Diceros bicornis minor: one gene and its partner. The protein of the gene in region 2 purifies or fractionates together with the protein of the main gene of each other region. This does not show direct contact. Links are inferred from orthologs where the notes say so. Each region holds a gene or a part of one and is shown on either strand. Other genes may lie near its edges. The genes, in order: ZC3H18 and SRRT.

Region 1 (8,847 bases), on a different chromosome or scaffold from region 2:
AATTCATTCACCGTTTCACTCAACCAATGCCTGAGGACCTACTAATGCAGGACTCTGTTATTAAAACCACCTCGGCAATAAAACCCACAGCCCCACCACCTGCTGAGACCACTCCTGTGTCTGGCATTTGACCGATTTCCTCATATTAACCTTCCAAATAAGTGATGTTCCCCTTCCCACACAAGGAAACTGCGCCACAAGCCCACTGAGTGGGTACCCCAGGACTGCAACTCAGAGCTGCTTCTAGAGCGCGTGCTCAGTCAGAGCCCTGTACTATGCATGAAATGAGCTTCCGCTCCCTGCCTAAGAACCAACCCCCATTTTTTGCCATTGTTTCTACAGGAAAATGGGACCCAAGTTCCAAACAGATTTTATAAATTCTCTTTTGGAACACAGCCCATGCATAAACTGGGGACTTGTACTGAACCAGTAGATTCTGCCTGTTGTTCTCTTCTCCCTTCTAAAGTGTTCTGCTGGTCCATCTACACTGCTATCCTAGCCCTTCTAGAACCCAAAACACACATTTTCATACAGATGGAAAAGTTACTATATGATCTGTGTAAACTATTAGTTAAAAATGGTGATCATCACATGGAGATTCGACTTGTAACAACAGTCATTTATTTTATGATTTTGAACTTGTCTGAAGTTTGAATCTTAGGCACTTACACCAAACATGAATCCAATAAAAGAAACCCCCAAAAGGTGCACACCTTTATACTAACACCACAGGAAGTGCTGACTTAAATTAAGATCCTGAAAGGCTGGTGTATTGTGGCATGGGAAATAATTTCAAGAATTTTATTGAGCCCGCATGCCCTCCACAGTTTGAATTACGGAAATCACTTCGACATTCCAAGGACGCAAAGGTAACTTCCCAACTCTCACAGGCAGTTCTCAGCGCTGACCAGAAGGTGGCAGAGCCTACGGTCCTGAGTGCACCTAGCACCATCAAGGGGGGCCTAGAGCTCTGTCAGCGGTGCTCAATCAGCCTTTGCGAAAGCATGGACTGCTCTGAGAATGGGATGAAGGAGATGGCTCCTCTGCCTAGAAAAACCTGGACATATGCAATTTATCTTCCACTTTAGGGAGTTCAAAACCTCCTGAGGTCCACTCATAGGCCCCAGATTAAGAACTCTTGCCCTAGGCATACTGTCCATTTGTCTATTATGTATCCATACTTACCACACTGTACTGCGACTGTTTGCAATCTGTTTGCAAAGTCTGTTGCGAGACTCCCTCAGCTCCCATGAAGTGCCTGAGCGGAAGGGCTCACACTCACCTCTGTGCTCCCCTAACTCAGCAAGTGGCTGGCACTTAGGAGCAGAGCTACCACAAAACTGACTGTCTAAACTGGGACACGCTTGAGACTGAAAGGGGGCATTAACAGCCACACAGGCATGATCAGGAGCTGTCCTAGACATACTGGGACATAGTCACTGTATGTCCTGACAATTTCCTGAGGAAAGGAGTCACATCTCTTCTCTCCCTATGGAACCTCTTGGGATTTCATAATCCGAAGCTGCACAGAACTGAACACCTTGCAGAAGAAAACAAGCCGAAGAATCTACCTGTTTATTAGAAGCACCCTGAGTCACACCTTGCTGTGCAGAAGAGGAGAAGTGTCACTGGAGTCAGAAGGTGGCTTCTGTTCCAGGCCCGCTCTGGGCAGGTTAATTGTCTCTCTGGATGTCTGCCCTGTTGTGAAATTAATTCAACTTGGCAAATATTTAAGTGGGTGCTCTCTGTCAGGTGCTGGGAGAAACCTGTGGCCTCTTAAGTGTAGAAAACGAAATGGAGGTCTGGCCATGTCTTCACCACTCCCAGGCTCACAGCTCTCATACAACCGCCTGCACCCACTCCCGGCAAAACTGCGCACCCTTTAGTCCTCTGATCCCCAAGATGGAATAATGAGTGTCCATCCTTGTGTCTCCACTGCCTACTGCATTTGGCAGACAGTGATTAATAAATGCTTGTTGAATAAACGAATGAATAAATGAGAAAATCTCGTGACTTGATAAACTACCTGTCGCTTACCAGAAATATCTGAAAGAAGTGCCAGTTTTAGAAGACTATACCAGAACTCAGATGCAGAGTGGGGCTGTCTCATTTCCCAGCCGTCACTCCGGAAGGCTGCACATTGATTCCAATGGCACTGCTAAAGCACAGAACATTTTGGGAACCTCTCTCTTTGAGTGACCTGTAGAACACTCTCTTGGCGCTCTCAGTGGCAGCAAGTCTTCCTCAAGGTGGGTCACTTTGAGAAAGCACAGGAAGCCATTCAGAGGTGGTGAGGTGAATTACCAAGCCAGATAAGACAATTTTTGGTCAAACATGGGGTGTGACTATTGAATGAGATTGATTTTCTCATACGCTTATATATTTACTACCAAAACGGGAGTTCTAAAGAGGTTTTGGCAAAGGAGCACCAGTGAAATGCAAGGTACCCTTCTGGGATAACGACCTTCAACAGAGCAGACCCTATTTGAATGCTTCAGTTCTGGTACAGCTGGTTAAAGTCCTGGTTCATAACTTCATGGATTTACAACATCCAAAGGAAGGATGTCAAGGCTGGTGACAGCACCCCCAAAATGACTAAGCTTGACTACCAAAAATTCCCCAAGTAAGTCTCACATTGAGACGATATGTAGCTGTGAAAAAGTAAACAAAAAACCTCTTTAAACGTGAGCAAGGCCACAGCTTACTTGTTTGCCCTCTGAAATGATTCCACAAAGCTTTCTTACAATGTTTGAGCATTTCCCACCCCAAACTGGAGATGAGTTCCAGCCTTTGGGACACATACCATTGGTTTCCATAGTTGGGTGGGCTACATACGTGCTCAGATTGTAAAACTGTCAGACAGACTCCCCTCCCAGGGCTTGGAGGTGGGAATCAGCCTGGGTCCAGGCTCACCCTGAATCCCAACCTCGGTTCTGGGAAAGGACCACTCTGCGGGAACTATGATGAAGGTGAGTCTCTAAGAAGAAAGGATGAGAGCCATTGCTACGCTCCCAAACAGTACTTCGGATGTCAAACACCCTCCTCTTCCTTTTTCCCCAAACGCATCTGAAGTCTGACCTACTCTTGCAAATGAGTTTGCTGGACAAAGCTCATTTAAAGTGATCAACCAGCCTACCCAGCAAAGTCGGCCGTCATAAAGTATTCAGGAAAAGTTAAGTCTTAGCAGGAGCAAGACTGGCAGTCTCCCACTCAGGTTCGCCCAGCATCACAGCTGCAGTAGTTTATCCCAAGGACCCGGCATCATTCCTCCGGCTTCTGACCAAAGGCGCAGGAAAGTTTCACATCCTAAGAGAGTGGCGCGCGTCTTGGGGCACAGCCAGCGCGTCCAACCTGTGCACACTGTGACGTCGAGGGAGCAAGCTCCAGGAGGCTCCAGCGAGCTCAAAGTTCCCTAAGAGCCCATCGACAGCCCGGCCGGCCTCCTCTGAGGGCCGACCCGCGTGCCCCCCCTGCGGGCGGCAAACATGTGCCCCGCGAACGTCCCGGAAGAGAAATGACAGCTCCGGGAGAACCAACTCCACGGCAGGGCGCCAAGGCAGCCGCGCGGGGCTCGAGTTCCGAGGGGTCCAGGGCTCTGGGCTGGCTCGCCGCGGACGGAGCGCGGGATCGTGCCGCTCTCACGGCCCCTTCCCGGGGCCCGAGAGCCACGCTTCGGCCGGGGGCGCAGCCCGGAGCGCTCCCCGGAGGCGGCGGCGGCGGGGCTCCCGGGCCTGGGCTCCGCGCCGCCGCCACGCTCCCCGCCCGGCCGTCTCGGCCTCCCCTCCCCACCGGCCCGGCTCCCGCCGCCGCCGCCGCTTACCTCAGCGCGAGGGCGGGGAGGGGGCCACGGCTCCGCTGGGGTCTGGACGGCGCGGGGAAGGCGTCCCTCGGCCCTTCCGCTCCTCACAGTCTCCGGCTCCAGGCGCGACGCGGGCGGAACAAACGGGCTGCACTACCCGCGGGGGCCGGCCATTGTGCGACGTCATCAGGCCGCGACCGCCGTCCTCCGGGCCGGCGGGCTTCCCTCGCCCGCCCCGCCCTCCGCCCGCTTCCTTCCGGCTTCCGTGCGGCCCCACCGCGCGGCCCCGCCCGCGCGGCGCGCGCGCCCGCCCCTCCACGGCGCAGGCGCCGCCAGAGGCCACGCTCCCGGGGGCGGGTCTCCGAGCCCGCGCGCCGCCGGCCGCCGGACGACGCCTGCGGGGAGGGTCAGCGCGCCGCGCGGTCACATGACGGGCCGCGAGGTCACGTGACGCGCGGAGCAGCCGATTCCCGCGTGGCGGAGTCGTGCGGTGAGTGGGACGGTGGACCTTCTGCAACGAAGGTGGTTTAAGCCTCAGAGCTTGCATTTTAACTCCTTCTGTGGGAGTAAGGAGCTACCGCCCGACAAATTAATCATTTTTGAGATATGGAGTTTAAATGCCAAAGCTTAAACATTTTTAACTATTTCCACTTTCTTAAAAATAATCAGCTCAACACAAGAATTAATTGTTTTTTGAAATATTGAGTTTAAATATCACAGCTTATAATTTTTAACTATTTACGTGGGACTAAATAGCTCCAGCTGTATTAAATATAATCAGCTCAACACAAAATTAATCATTTTTGAGATAGAGTTTAAATATCAAAGCTAAAGTTTTAAACTATTTCCATCGGACTGGATAGCTCCGCATCTTACTAAATGTGATCAGCTTAACCCGATGTAACCTTTCCGTGATCAGAAGGACATCATGTGATACTTGGAGCATTTTTACAGCTCTACAACTACCTTCACAGACCCTCAGGGTGGAGCCTCCTGGAGCCACGCTGCAGAGGATCACACAGTGTGCTCTCCATTTTAGAGATGAGAAACTCGCACTTAGAAGGGTTCCGAGCTCGGTTGAATGACCTGCTTTCCCCACCTTAAAATTCTTAGTCATTTTTGAACAAGGGGCCCATGTTTTCATTTTGCACTGGACCCTGCAACTTATATAGCCTGTTCTGGGGGTATCTAAGGGTTTTGGGGAATGGTGAGCAGAGCAGGCCTTTCCTCACCCCATCTTCCTCCTCCAGGAAATGTGCAGTACTAAGAAGGGCTCCTCCTTGGGGCAGCCTGCCTCCATTCAGCCCACAAATATAATGTCCAGCACATGGTGAGGTTGAATGAACTCATAAATGTTTGCTCCATGTTTTCCGAATGAATGAATGAGCAGGGGAAGAAATGAAGGTATTAACACAGCTAATGCACTCCTTGGTGTCTAACCCAAGAGAAATGACACGTATCTAGACAAAACCAGAGCACAAATGTTGGCAGCAGCACTGTTCACAGTAGCCTCAAAGTGGAAACAACCTAGATGTCCACGCCCGGATGAACGGATAAACAAAATGTGTTCTAAGTATACAGTGGAATAACTATTAAGCCATAGAAAGGAATGAAGTCATTATAAGAAGAGATAACAGAGAGAGACCCCCCCCTTCTGTCTCTCCCTTCCCCACCCCACCTCCACTGTGTGAGGACACAAGAAGGCAGCATCTGCAAGCCAGAAGAGAGCTCTGGCCAGACCCCTGCTACGCTGGCACCCTGATCTTGGACTTCCAGGCTCCAGAACTGTGAGAAAGTAAATTTCTGTTGTTTAAGCTTCCCAGTCTATGGTATTTTGTTAGGGCAGCCCGAGTTGACTAACACATTCCATCTACATGAAATATCCAGAAGAGGCAAATCCATAGAGTCGGAAAGTAGAGTAGTGGTTACCGGGCCTGGAAGGAGGTGGAATGGGGGGTGACTGCTAAATGGTGTTGAAAAAAGAAACAGGCCCAAGCTGGAGTCAGCAAACCAGGACTTAATTGCAGTTTCAGCCCCTCCCAGGAATGTGACCTTAAAGGATCAGTCTGGAAAATCCTGGTCAACACTAGTGAGGTCATCTGATAAGACCCCTGAGCCCTTCCCCCAAAGAAAGTTGACCTTGCCTGAAACAATCCTTTCTTTTTTGTTTGCTAGTAACTTTCTTGTCCCGCCCAGTTTCTGCCTATCAATACCTTCCATTTCAACAACTCTCTGCTTGCTAGATGGGATGCTGCCCGATTCATGAGTCATTGAATAAACCCAATCAGATATTTAAATTGACAAGGTTGAATTTTTGTTCATTAACAGATTTGGTGGCAGCAGCACAACCGAAGGAGACTTCCAGCAGCTTTGGGAATAGCAAGAAACACAGGCGTGGTGCCTGAGAACCCTTTGAGTTCTTCTGTCTTTCTCGCCATTTCTGAGGGCCATTGGTGAGTTCCTCTCAGTTTGCGCTATGCAGTCTTTGCCTCCAGCTCTTGATCTAAGTGGCTTTCCTTTACAGGGCAGGTCAGCTTGAGGTTCTGCCCAGAGCCAAGCCTCTAGCCTTTCAGACTGCTTTGTCAAAATTCCATGGGTATTGGTGGTGGTTACTACCAGAGTCAGATTGGGTCCAACTTAAAAACCAGACTGGGTCCAGGATCACACTGGGTCCGACTTGAGCTGGACTGGGTCCAATTCAGGCAGGGCTTGGTCCAGTGGGAGGCCTTGGATGAATAAAATTTTGTTCAAACGGAATCCTTTATATCCAAAGAGCTGAGTGCACCACCTTCTGGCACACTTGCTGATTTTATGTACAGTCATGCACCACATGATGACGTTTCTGTCAACACATATATGATGGTGGTCCCATAAGATTATAATGGAGCTGAAAAATTCCTATTACCTGGTGACGTAGCTGTCGTAAGGTCGTAGTGCAACAAATTACTCCCACGTTTGTGGTGATGCTGGTGTAAACAAACCTACTGTGCTGCCAGTCATATAAAAGTATAGCACATAAAATTATGTATAGTACATAATAGTTGATAATAAATGACTATGTCACTGGTTTATGTATTTTCTATACTATACTTTGTATTGTTATTTTAGAGTGTGCTCTTTCTACCTAGAAAAAAGGTTTGCTGTAAAATGGTGAGCTGTCGCTGGCAGTAGCCTCATATGTCTCGTGCTTACCATGTATCTTGATTGCATCATTTTCTCTTGTGCTTGATTTAATCTCTTATTCTTTTCTTCATCATGGCCCCTGAGTGTACAAAATCCACTACTAATGTTGCCAGTAAGAGGCCACGTCAAATGATTGACCTGGAAGCAAAATTAAAAGTGATTAAAGAACACAAAGGTGGAAAATCAGTGATGATTATTGCTCGCCAGTCAGGCATGTCCCATTCCATCTTCAGGACTAGCTATGATCTTGAAGAACGAGAACAAAGTGACAGAAGCTGTTAAAGGATCTACTTCATTGAAGGCAATGAGACTAGCAAAAATTTGAGAAGAGCCTATATCAGACATGGAAAAACTTCTAATGACCTGGATTGAAGACCAGACACCGAAGTGCATCCCTCTCAGTATCATGACAGTCATGGCCAAAGCAAAAAGTTTGTTTGCGACGTTGAAAGAAAAGGCTGGACCTGACTATGATGTTGAATTAACTGCTAGCTCTGGGTGGTTTGAATGATTCAGGAATCATTGTTCATTACATAATGTGAAAGTGAGGGGTAAGTCTGCAAGCGCTGATGTGAAGGCAGCTGAAGAATTTTTGGAAACTCTGGATAAGCTTATTGTGGAGGAAAACTGCTTGCCAGAGCAAATATTCACCATGGATGAAACTTCCCTATTCTGGAAACAGATGCCTGAAAGGACTTTCATCCATAAGGAGGCCAAGTCAATGCCAGGTTTCAAGGCTTTTAATGATAGGATAACAGTCTTGCTTGGGGGCAGTGTTGCAGGCTACAAGTTGAAACTGTTTGTGATCTGGCATACAAGTGTGTCAGTAAGCACACACTGCGAGTGCACTACAGGAGCAATAAGAAGTCACGGATGGCCCAGCTCCTCTTCCAGGATGCCCTCCTGAATTGCTGTGCCAGTGAAATGGAGAAGTACTTTTTGGAGAATAAGATATCTTTCAAGAATTTTCTTATTGTTGATAATGATCCCAGACATCCTCCTTTTATTAGTGATCTTCATGCCAATATCAAAGGGGTGTTTCTTCCTTGAAACACCACCTCTTAGATCCAACCAATGGATCAAGGAGTTATAGCAGCTTTTAAGACCACCTACCTGAGGAGGACCTTTGCAGGCTATTGCTGCAACTGAGGTAGACACTGAGAAGACACTGGTACAATTCTGGAAAGATTACAACATCTATGATTGCATCAAGAACCTTGCTTGGGGTTGAAGTAATGTCACTAAGGAGTGCATGATGGCATCTAGAAGAAGACACTGAAGAGGTTCATCCATAACTTCAAAGGTTTTAGCAAGGATGAGGAGGTTGCAAAAATCAACAAGGGGGGTTGGCCCATTGGCATAATGGTTAAGTTCATGTGCTCCACTTTGGCAGTCAGGGTTTGCCGGTTTGGATCCTGGGTGCGAACCTATGTACTGCCCATCAAGCCATGCTGAGGTTGCCTCCCACATAGAGCAACTAGAAGGATGTGCAACTATGACATACAACTATCTACTGGGCTTTGGGGAGGGAAAAAAAAAGGAAAAAGGAGGAAGATAGGTAACAGATCTTAGCTCAGGGCCAATCTCCCTCAAAAAAAAAGAAAAGACAGATCCATAGAACTTAATATTAGAAGATGCTTTAGATAAGTAAACTTTGAGAAAAAAAAATCAACACGGCTGTGGTTGAGATGGCAAACAACTTGAACCTGGGTGTGGGTGAGGCTGACATTGAGGAGCTCCTAGAGGTGGTTCCTGAGGAATTGACTAACAAGGAGTTGTTGGAAACGGAACAGGAGCACATAGCTGAAGAAGAGGCAAGAGAAGGGGAAACTGTGGGAGAAGAACAACCTCCAAGAAAATTCACA
Region 2 (9,075 bases):
GGCGGGGAGGAGAGAAGCGCTCTCGCCGATTCCGGTCATAGTCACGATATTCACCCCGACTGCGGCGCTCCCGGCCACGGTCCCACTCTCTGGCGATCAGGACAGGTAACAGTAAGGCACAGCTGGATATCCCGAGGTTACACTCCTGGACAGGCCCTTCCTGTCCTATCTGAGACACCAGACTAAAAGCCTAAAATGATAAAACTACTCTCTAAACAGAAGGACTCTTGCCTACTTCCATCACTGTAGCCATTACCCACAAACTGATAACTCTCCAACTGTCCCTCCCTCCAGCCTGGCCTTTTTCCTGAGCTCCAGACCAACATCAACAATTCCCCACTAGACGGCCATTGCGTGTCAGAATTGAGCCTATTATTTCTACCACTATGGGCCCGAATCTGCTTCCATCCTCCTTTCCCACTCTCGGTTATATCAACATATCACCACGTATCCAGTTATCAAGTGTCACCCTCACCACTAATTTGTTACGGGCTTGTTAATCCCCTGTCTCAAAGCCTATTAAAGCTGTCCTCTTCCTCGCCATCCCCACACACTCTGCCCTAGCCTGCGTGCCTGGTCCTGATCGTTTCTCCTACAACTGCAGCACTGGTTTTGCTTTCCTGCTCTGGTCTCTGCCCCTTCTCTACGGTCAAAGTGAATTTTCTCAAACACAAATCTGCTCATGCCATACCCTTGCTTAAATACACAACACTGTTCAAAACCTTTGTTCCTGGGTGTTATTTCAGGCTCTCCACCAGTCACCAGCCACCTCCATCCCCATCTTCACAAAATAAAAAAGAACATCCTTGCTCTAACCCAGTGGTTTTCAAACTTTTTGGTCTTGGGATCCCTTTACACTCTTAAAAAGTGTTGAAGATTAAAGAGTTTTTGCTTATGTGGGTTCTATCTACCCAGTATTCTAACCACATGTGAATACTGTATTCAAAATTGGAATAGAAAAAATTAACACCTATTAATTTTGACGTTAAATATTAACATAAACTACATCATTTTATGAAAAATGGCTATTTTCCAAAAAAATTTCAGTGAAAAAACTGGCATTGTGTTTCATTTACAACTCTTTTCAAGGTCTGGCTTAAGAGAGACAGCTGGAGTCTCATATCTGCTTCTACATACAATCTGTTATAATATGGTGTTTGGTTGAAAAATATGAAGAAAATCTGGCCTCACAGATATGTAGCTGGAAAAGGGAATACTTGAATAGCCTTTTCAGATAACTGGCGATATTCTTCCGTACTACCCAAAGCTTGAGAAATAGCTTCTTAAGGGCTAGTTGCAATGCTGAATCTGAAACCGTATCAATGAACATTTTGTACTCTGGTACATTAAAATCTATTGTTCTATCTTGCTCTTTGAATGGATCTTGACACATCTTTTTATATAATATCAAAACATCATACTCATTAGTATCACTTCGTATCTCATCAGAAGAGTCTTTAAGTAAGGGGAAGCTCTCAAGCTCACATTGGTAGATACAAGTTTTCCAAAATTTTAGTTTTCACTGGAAAGTTCCACTTCCTCACTGGCAACAAAACTGACAATTTTCCTTGCAGTAACAGATTCTCTTAGTTTGTTTTCAAGAAAATGTCTGTCAAATACCCAAATATGAATAACCACTGTTTGACAGTCTTTCATTCAGGTAAAACTGGCATTCCAGGAAAAAAAATATTGTTAGTTCAGCTCACAACTCGATCCCACAAATACTATTCCTCAGGGTGACCACTGTACTCCTATATGCAGAAGTACTTTATGCATCCTTCTCATCCATCATGTGTATTAAAAAGATGTACAGTCAAGAACCCAATTTAATAACATTAAAAATTTTCACTGCTTCATCAAGGACATTAAGTGAAACTGGATTGGTGCAAAGGCGTCAGCAGTTTAATTCGCCAATGCTATAGCATCACACGTGCAAATGTCACTACGGTGAAAACGACACTACCTAGTGTTACTATAACAACAGTTGTAACCTCACAGATCCCCTACAGTGTGTGGGCCACACTCTGAGAACCACTACTCTCAAAATATTAGAATATGTGCTCTTTTCTGCACACGGCATTATGTCCCCAATTCCAAGCTGTTCACGCCACTTGTGTCTGGGGAATTCCCACTCATCTTTCCAAGTCTTGCTAAGTGTCGCTTTCCTGTAGCTCTCCTCTTTTTTTCCCTTGGAAAATCTGTTCCCTCAACACTTACCATCTTTATAATGATCTCTCATATATACTCATTTGCAGCATACACCCAAGGCCATTTTGCCCCTGACTCCAAGCCCCAAACTGTAAACTCCTTAAGGGTAATAACCACATCTCATCCATCTTCAGAATTCAGAAGAGCACCTTTGATTTTCTTCTGACTTTCGTAGAAAATACCAAGGAACAAAGTGCCACATGGAGCGTCCACAGAGAAGAGACTCACTGACAGACTGACTGATTTACTCATTTTTCAAAATGATACTGAAGGAATAAATGTTATCACAATAAGTCACCTCAAACTCTTTTTTTCTGGTAATCTGTATCCAAATTGAGCCAGTGCCATCAGCTCACTGACTGGATATTTGTGATGCCCTTTAGATTAAAAAAATCTGCCACGGTTCCTCTTATCTTGATTACTTTATTTGAAACCACATTAGATGTTTCTTATGTTATAGTTAAGGAAACACCTTAACTGTAATTAACTCAAAAACATCCCAGAAAACTAATCACTAGCCAGTCAAACCTAATCAATTAACCCAACCATTAGCATCCAAAACTCTGATGTTAGCCAAAACAATTACAAGAAATTTAATCACATTCTGCCAGGGAACTGGCCTGACAACCTCACCAGTTAAAGGCAATTCTATATTGCTTTTTTTTTGAATCAAACTTTTCGAGGTATAATCTACAAACACTAAAATGCACACATTTTTAATACATGTATAAATATTGCTTTTTCATACTCAAACTCTCTTAGCTCTATTGCTTTGATCTTCTGGACATTTCAAACATCAAGCCATACCTAACTCTTCCGCCAACAGCAAATAGGTTGAACCACATGCAACCGTCAAGAATGAGCGATTTCACATGGTTCGCCCTGATAAAATTATAAACGCAACGCCATGAGAGTGGAGTACAACAGAATGAGACAGGGGCACAAAACTGAGGAAAAGCAGCGTCTCACCGGTCATTCCAGTCGTCCCCTCGACGTCTTTCATCTCTTTCCCGGGAACGGTCATAGTCGCTGCGCTCTCTTCTAAACTTGTCCCTGCGTCTACGATCATACTCGTCATCACTGTCACCCATGGCGCGGTCGCAGGGGGCCTGGAGCCCAGACAGGGGCCATCAGTGTATCGAACAATGCCGGGAGGAGGGAAGGCTCTCCCATCCGCAGCAGCACGCCCGCCCCGCTCCGCAAAGGCCAACCGGCCGCTGTCCCCGCCATCCTAAGCCCTCTGCCCCGACACTGCACTCGCCCCCACGGGCCCCCCGCCAGCCCCGGGCCCCTCTCCCTCCGGCCCTCCCCTCCCCCACCTGGGAGCGGCCGCGGCCGTTAGTCTCGCGCTCGGGCGGGCTGGTTTTCCGGGCGACCTGGGCCCGCCTCTGGCCTCGGGCACGCGGCGAGGACGGCGAGGAGAGTGAGAGGGAGACGCGGGTGTCTCAGCGAGGGGGCTGAGGAGATGCGAAGAAAGTGGGACAGCGACGATAGGCGGTCGGCGCGCGCCGCTCGCGCTGCGCCTGCGTCACCGGCAGCAGAGCGCCTCGAACCACAAAAGCCCCGCCCCACTCGCGGCCAGAACTGGAACTAAACCAAAGACGGAGAGACGGGGAGCACCGGGGCATGACGGGAAGGGGCGGGGCCCCGGAAGTCTCGCGCGCTTTCCAGGACGAGAACTGCGGGAGCGAGAGGAACTACGGGAAGCCGGCTGGACCAAGCATGGCCTCGAGAGGGCGGTAGAGCCCTCTGGGCGTGAAGCAGATCTTGCTCGGGCCGAGGTCGAAGGCTGGGATTCCCTGGCTCTGTCCGGAGCCTCTTCCAGTTTCCATCCAGCCTTTGCGCACCCCGCCTCACCTTCCTCTGGGCGCCTCCTGACCTCCTCCTGGGTGGTTTCGCCCCTCTCCGTGAGCAGGGCAGGGGCTTGGCGAATGCATTGGCTTAACGAGATCGAGCAACCATTTTAAAGCATCTCCTCCCACCATTTTGTGCTCCCACTAGATAACCAGCTTTTGTTGGTGCCTCCGTACACGCTACCTGCGAAACCCCTTGTTCCTGCTCTTCTTCGAGAAAGGCGCCCCGTCTTTGAGCAAAACTGGCAAATCTCAGTCTTATTCCCAATCAGTACTTTGATGAGACAGGTTGTAGGTTGAGCTCCCTACCAATAGGCAGGATTTTGCTTGCCCCAGGTTAAATAACACCACAGGGATACCACGTCCTGTTCAGTGAACTGAGTGTAAAGACTTAAGACTAGGAAATACTGCCTCCCCAGAGCGTGCTGCTGCAGCCTTGCTCCCAGCACCGAGAGGAGGGGTGTCCTTACACCAAACTACATTAAAAAGAGTGTATAGTAGAGTTACAAGAAACTGGACTAAGACTAAGAAGACCAGGTTCTGATCTTGGTTCTGCCATTTGGGAAGCATGCAGTGTGGGGAAGTCACTTCCCAGCTAAAAATACAGACAGTCGCAACAATCGTGCTTGTGTTGGGCTGCGGTGAAAATCAGATGAGACAACAGACTTCAAAGTGTTTTGTAAACTCTTGAGGGATTGTTATTTCACGATTGGAGGAAGAGCCTTGATGACAAGGCTGTAAAGGTAGTTGTCAGGGAGCGTGGTCCCTGGGAACGGAGGAGAACACAGCAGGTGCTTCTAGGAAGACTCAGCAGTCGGTGGTGACGGTGGCTGAGAGCTCCTGGATGCGCCAGGCACTGCAGGCCTTGCACAAGATGTGCCCATCCAGTGGGTAGCAGCCCTGACACTCACCCTCAGAGGACAGCAGCAGCCCACACTCCTGTGTGAAAAGAGGCAACAGCTTTCCATCAGGCCCAGACCCCTGGGTTCCTTGTCCCTTGTGCTCTACCATACCCAGGACCCCAGACCCTGAGAACCTCTTTTCCCATCGCCCAGGCTCCCTGACCTCACACTTGTAACAGCCAATGTGAAAACTGCGATCCAGAGCAACAATTCGCACCGTCTCCTCCTGACCTGGTTCAGGCATGATGGCCCCACCACACACTGAGCATCGTGGGGCAAACTTCCTGGGGTGGAAGGGAACCAGGAGGCTGTCAAGCCACAGGCTTGGAGAATACTAACAAGGGAGTCCTGAGAAGGTGGGATGCAGGAGGGAACAGCAGAGGCCAGAGGTGTGGTCTTGGATCTTGGGGATGAGAGTGACGTTAACAAAAATGAGACATGGCTAGGGGTGGGAAACAGGAGAGGCTGGTACTGAGACATTAAGGAGAGAGGAGGAAGATAGGAAAGGCCAGACATCCTGAGACAAAGGTGGGGGACCCAGCCTGACCTGTGGAAGTCCTCAATGCAGTGGATCTGGCTGGTGGCATCCACCGTGAAAGGGATGCCATCGAGGCCGCGGTGGCACACCACACAGGTGAAGCAGCCAGGATGGTAGGCCTTCCCCATAGCCCGCAGGATCCGGTCTAGGATGGGTTGGGAGCATGTGGAGCACTTCTCCAGGGTGGCCTGTTGGGAAGGAAGGGAGGAAGGTTGAGGGCTGGGGTGACCCATGGCAGCCCCACAAGCATCCTGCCAGCCCAACCATCTGTTCGTGTATCCACCTGCGTGCGATTCAGTGAAAGGTGGCAAGTCTCAGCAATGCAGCTTCATGGACAAGTTATTTAACCACTCTGAGCTTCAGTTTCCTTCAGTAGTAATATCTGCCTCACAGGGGTATGGTGGGAATTTAACACTTTCCTTAACTCTAAAATAAATGCCTCACACTTGTAAAGGGACTGTGGTCCTTCCCTCCAGCAGGCAGTATTTAGCTACTTAAGTCCTCCATTCTTCTTGTACATCAGTTTTAGTCCCCTACCTTCGAGTCCTGTTCCTCTTTGGGGCTTGGACATCTAGTTCCCACCTTGGATGGAAGCCCCCCACCCCAACCACTCACCACGTAGCAGCTCTCACAATATGCCCTCCTCTCCACAGCATAGAAATGCTGGCCCCGAAGATGGGCCCGGCACGTAGAACACACAAAGCAGCCAACGTGAAAGACGCGGTCCAGGGCCACAACCCCAGCCCCATCCCCAACCACATCTTCTCCGCAGCCGCCACACCGGCCTGGGGACAGGGAGGGACAGGGTCAATCTGCACAAGCTAGGAAGCTGGATCGGCTGTCCCTCTGACTCTCTAGCCCCACCTCCCCCTTCCCACCCCACCGGTGGGGTCAGCTCACCGAAGTACTCCCCGCTGGGCGGGTGGTTCATGTCATGCACCAGCTTCTTGGTCAGCCTCTCAAGCTCCTCCTCGGGAGGCTGGCTCAGGGGCACCTGGGAAGTGAGAATCAGGGGTTCGGCCCTACCTCTAGCTCCTGACCCTGTGAAAATCGCTGAGGGTGACCAGGCAGTTCTGCCCAGAAAGCTCATCTGAGAACGTCTCAGCCCAGCGTCCAGGCGGCACACCTCGGGGAGCCAGGGTACAGCTCCAGTCCCCTCCGTCCTGTACTTCCTGACCTGCCCACACTCTCCGGGGATCTAGAGCTCCGACACCTCAGACCTCTGACAACCAGGACATTAAACACCACTCCTCACCCCGCCCAATCAGTGTCCAGTTGTCTGTGAGGACCCCAAACCCCATACACGGTGCTTACCGGGGGCCCATACCCGCCTCCTCTTCCTCCTCCTGCATGGCCAGAGACCCCGGCAGCCTCCTCTTCACTTCCCGGCCCTGGCTCTCGGTGGCTCCTATAGCCAGGCCCCCAGACTTCACCTCGGCCTGGGAGAGGAAAGTGGGGGCCCGGCAGGGACCCGGAGGCCTGAGAGGCCCCCCGCCTGGGGGGGCCACAGCCTTTCACTGGTTGTGCCACCTTCACTTGCACAGGGAAGGCAGGGCCGGCGGGCGTGCTTGCTGTTGTGTAGGAGGCCGGAGTGGGGCCCCCGTAAGTGGATGCTGGGAGCGGTGGGGAAGGAACACCCCCTCCATTCGGCTTCAGGGAGCCCACGCGGTAGGCAGGGGGCTGAGGGGGCTCATAAGCCTGAGGAGAAACGCAGACCAGGAGTGAGCTGGGCCCATTCAGGACACACACCTGTGGAAATGCCCCACCCATGTGTGTGGCACCCAGGTAAGTGCTGGTTTTTGACAACGGCCCGCCTTCAAGTGGCTGACAACCTAGCAAGCTCTGGTGGCCCAGCTTCTTCCACAAGGTAGAGGTGAGGGGTGGACTGGGTTGAGAATCCAGAGAAGGGACCAGGCTAGGGGGGCGGGTGGGGGGACAGGGGACAGGGAGCAGAGGAGGGACGGGGCAGGACAGGGGGTCACCTGCCGGTCAGGCTGCCGTGGGGCATGACCACGACCCCCATCCAGCTCAGCCAGCATGCTGGTCAGCGAATCTATCTCAGCATCCAGACTTCCTGGGCGCAAGCCCCCTCTGTCTGGGGGGAGCCCCTGAGGATGGAGCAGAAGCAGGGAGAAGCAAATCACACGGCCCTCTTCTCCTGCCCTGCCCTCACCCCCCCATCCCGGTTCTCACCTGTGAACGCTGGGGTGCTCCATGGCACCCCACCCAGGCCAGCCCCCGATCCTCTGGTCCCCCTGGGGCCTGGTAACACTGCTCAGATGGGAGACGGCAAAAATTGACCCTGGGGTGGGACTGGAGTGCTGCGGTGAGGGAAGAGAGAGGAAGGGTAGATGGGGAAGGAGACGAGGGTGACACTTGTGGAGGACGCCCTCTTAGGTCCCTCGTCTCCCCTCCCCCTCACCCCCCCCCTCCCGCACCTGGGCTCCGAGAATGGGACAGGAGGTGGGGAGGGCTGCGAGAGGGCAGGGGCGGCTAGTCCCAGCCTGGCTCCGGGGAAGGGGCGGCTGGGCAGGCTGGGCAGGAGGCAGGAGCCTCAGGGCAGAGGTGGCCTCCTGGGCCCACTGGGGACTGCCTTACCTGCTCCGGGGGCTGGTGGCGGCCCCGGGGCGCCCCGGGGGAGCACTCTCCCCTGAGGGGCTCTGACGGGCTCCAGCTGCTTCGGGGGGAGCCAGGTGGGCCCCGACATGGCCTGGAACGGGGGACCTCCAGACCGCGGTCAGGGCCTCACGGAGCCCTGAGCCTCTGGCCTTGACCCCTTCTTCCGTCCCTCGTTTGGGACTCCAGGAAAGAAACTTTTTCTGGCTTTTTTTCCTCTTCCTCCCCAATTTTGGGGATGGCCACGCCCCCTGTGACATCATCGCATTCCTGGGGGAGGGTCACGTGGCCCCCTAGGCCCTAAACTGCTGTCCCTCCCTAGTCAGCCCCCTCCTGCTGAGCGGGGAGGGCTTTCCGCGGAGCCGGCGTCTGGGAGGCTGCAGGCAGCCTCCATTTCCCCGAGTCCCCCAGGCCCTGCGCCCCGCGCCCCAGGTCCTGCCCATGGCCACCTCGACGCTGGGACGCTCTGGCGCTCCTCTTTCCCACATCCCCCCATACAGATGTCTCCCTCCTCCCGTCCCATCTACCCACCCCCCAGCAGTGCTCCGCCAGCCCGTAGTGTTTTGGTCTTTTATTCACGTTCAGCAGTTAGAAAAATAAAACAGAACACAAATATCACAACCTCAGGGGTCAGTGAGTCTGTTGGGTGAGGGGGAGACTGAGGTAGCCTGAAGTCACGAGCGGAGACCCAGCCCCGGACAAGGCACCGGTGAAGGGAGGGAGGCTGACGTGGCCAGACAGCTGCCCTGCACGCGTGCACCAGGGCCCCTCTCCCAGAGACAGCAGATGCCGCAGATCAGGATCACCTAATACCTCCACCTGGCTCCGTGTACCACGTGTGGGGCAGGCGGGGAGGCGGCCCTTCTCCTCCTCATCTGCTACTCAAGGTGGGCCTCCCGGCCTGGGCACCCTCTGCTTTAGGGATGGGGCATCAGAGATCAGTACAAGTGACGGGGGT

What was found.
Region 1: the proteins of SRRT (region 2) and ZC3H18 purify together in Homo sapiens (co-immunoprecipitation; 4 studies listed by BioGRID and IntAct, counting the BioPlex papers as one, with this or other methods). This does not show direct contact. The link is inferred for Diceros bicornis minor from reciprocal best matches to the Homo sapiens genes SRRT and ZC3H18.

What each region holds. Positions count from the first base shown.
Region 1 is NC_080771.1:37,022,816-37,031,662, reverse strand, and holds the start of ZC3H18 (zinc finger CCCH domain-containing protein 18), read right to left. Parts: upstream 3,993-8,847; 5' UTR 3,821-3,992; intron 1-3,820.
Region 2 is NC_080765.1:5,028,333-5,037,407, forward strand, and holds the start of SRRT (serrate RNA effector molecule homolog), read right to left. Parts: upstream 3,677-9,075; 5' UTR 3,528-3,676; intron 3,318-3,527; 5' UTR 3,300-3,317; coding exon 3,178-3,299; intron 90-3,177; coding exon 1-89. Other genes in the region: TRIP6 (thyroid receptor-interacting protein 6), read right to left, coding at 4,869-5,000, 5,127-5,247, 5,511-5,689, 6,117-6,286, 6,402-6,495, 6,816-7,199, 7,484-7,609, 7,695-7,822 and 1 more; SLC12A9 (solute carrier family 12 member 9), read right to left, coding at 9,049-9,075. UniProt on the Homo sapiens protein: Acts as a mediator between the cap-binding complex (CBC) and the primary microRNAs (miRNAs) processing machinery during cell proliferation.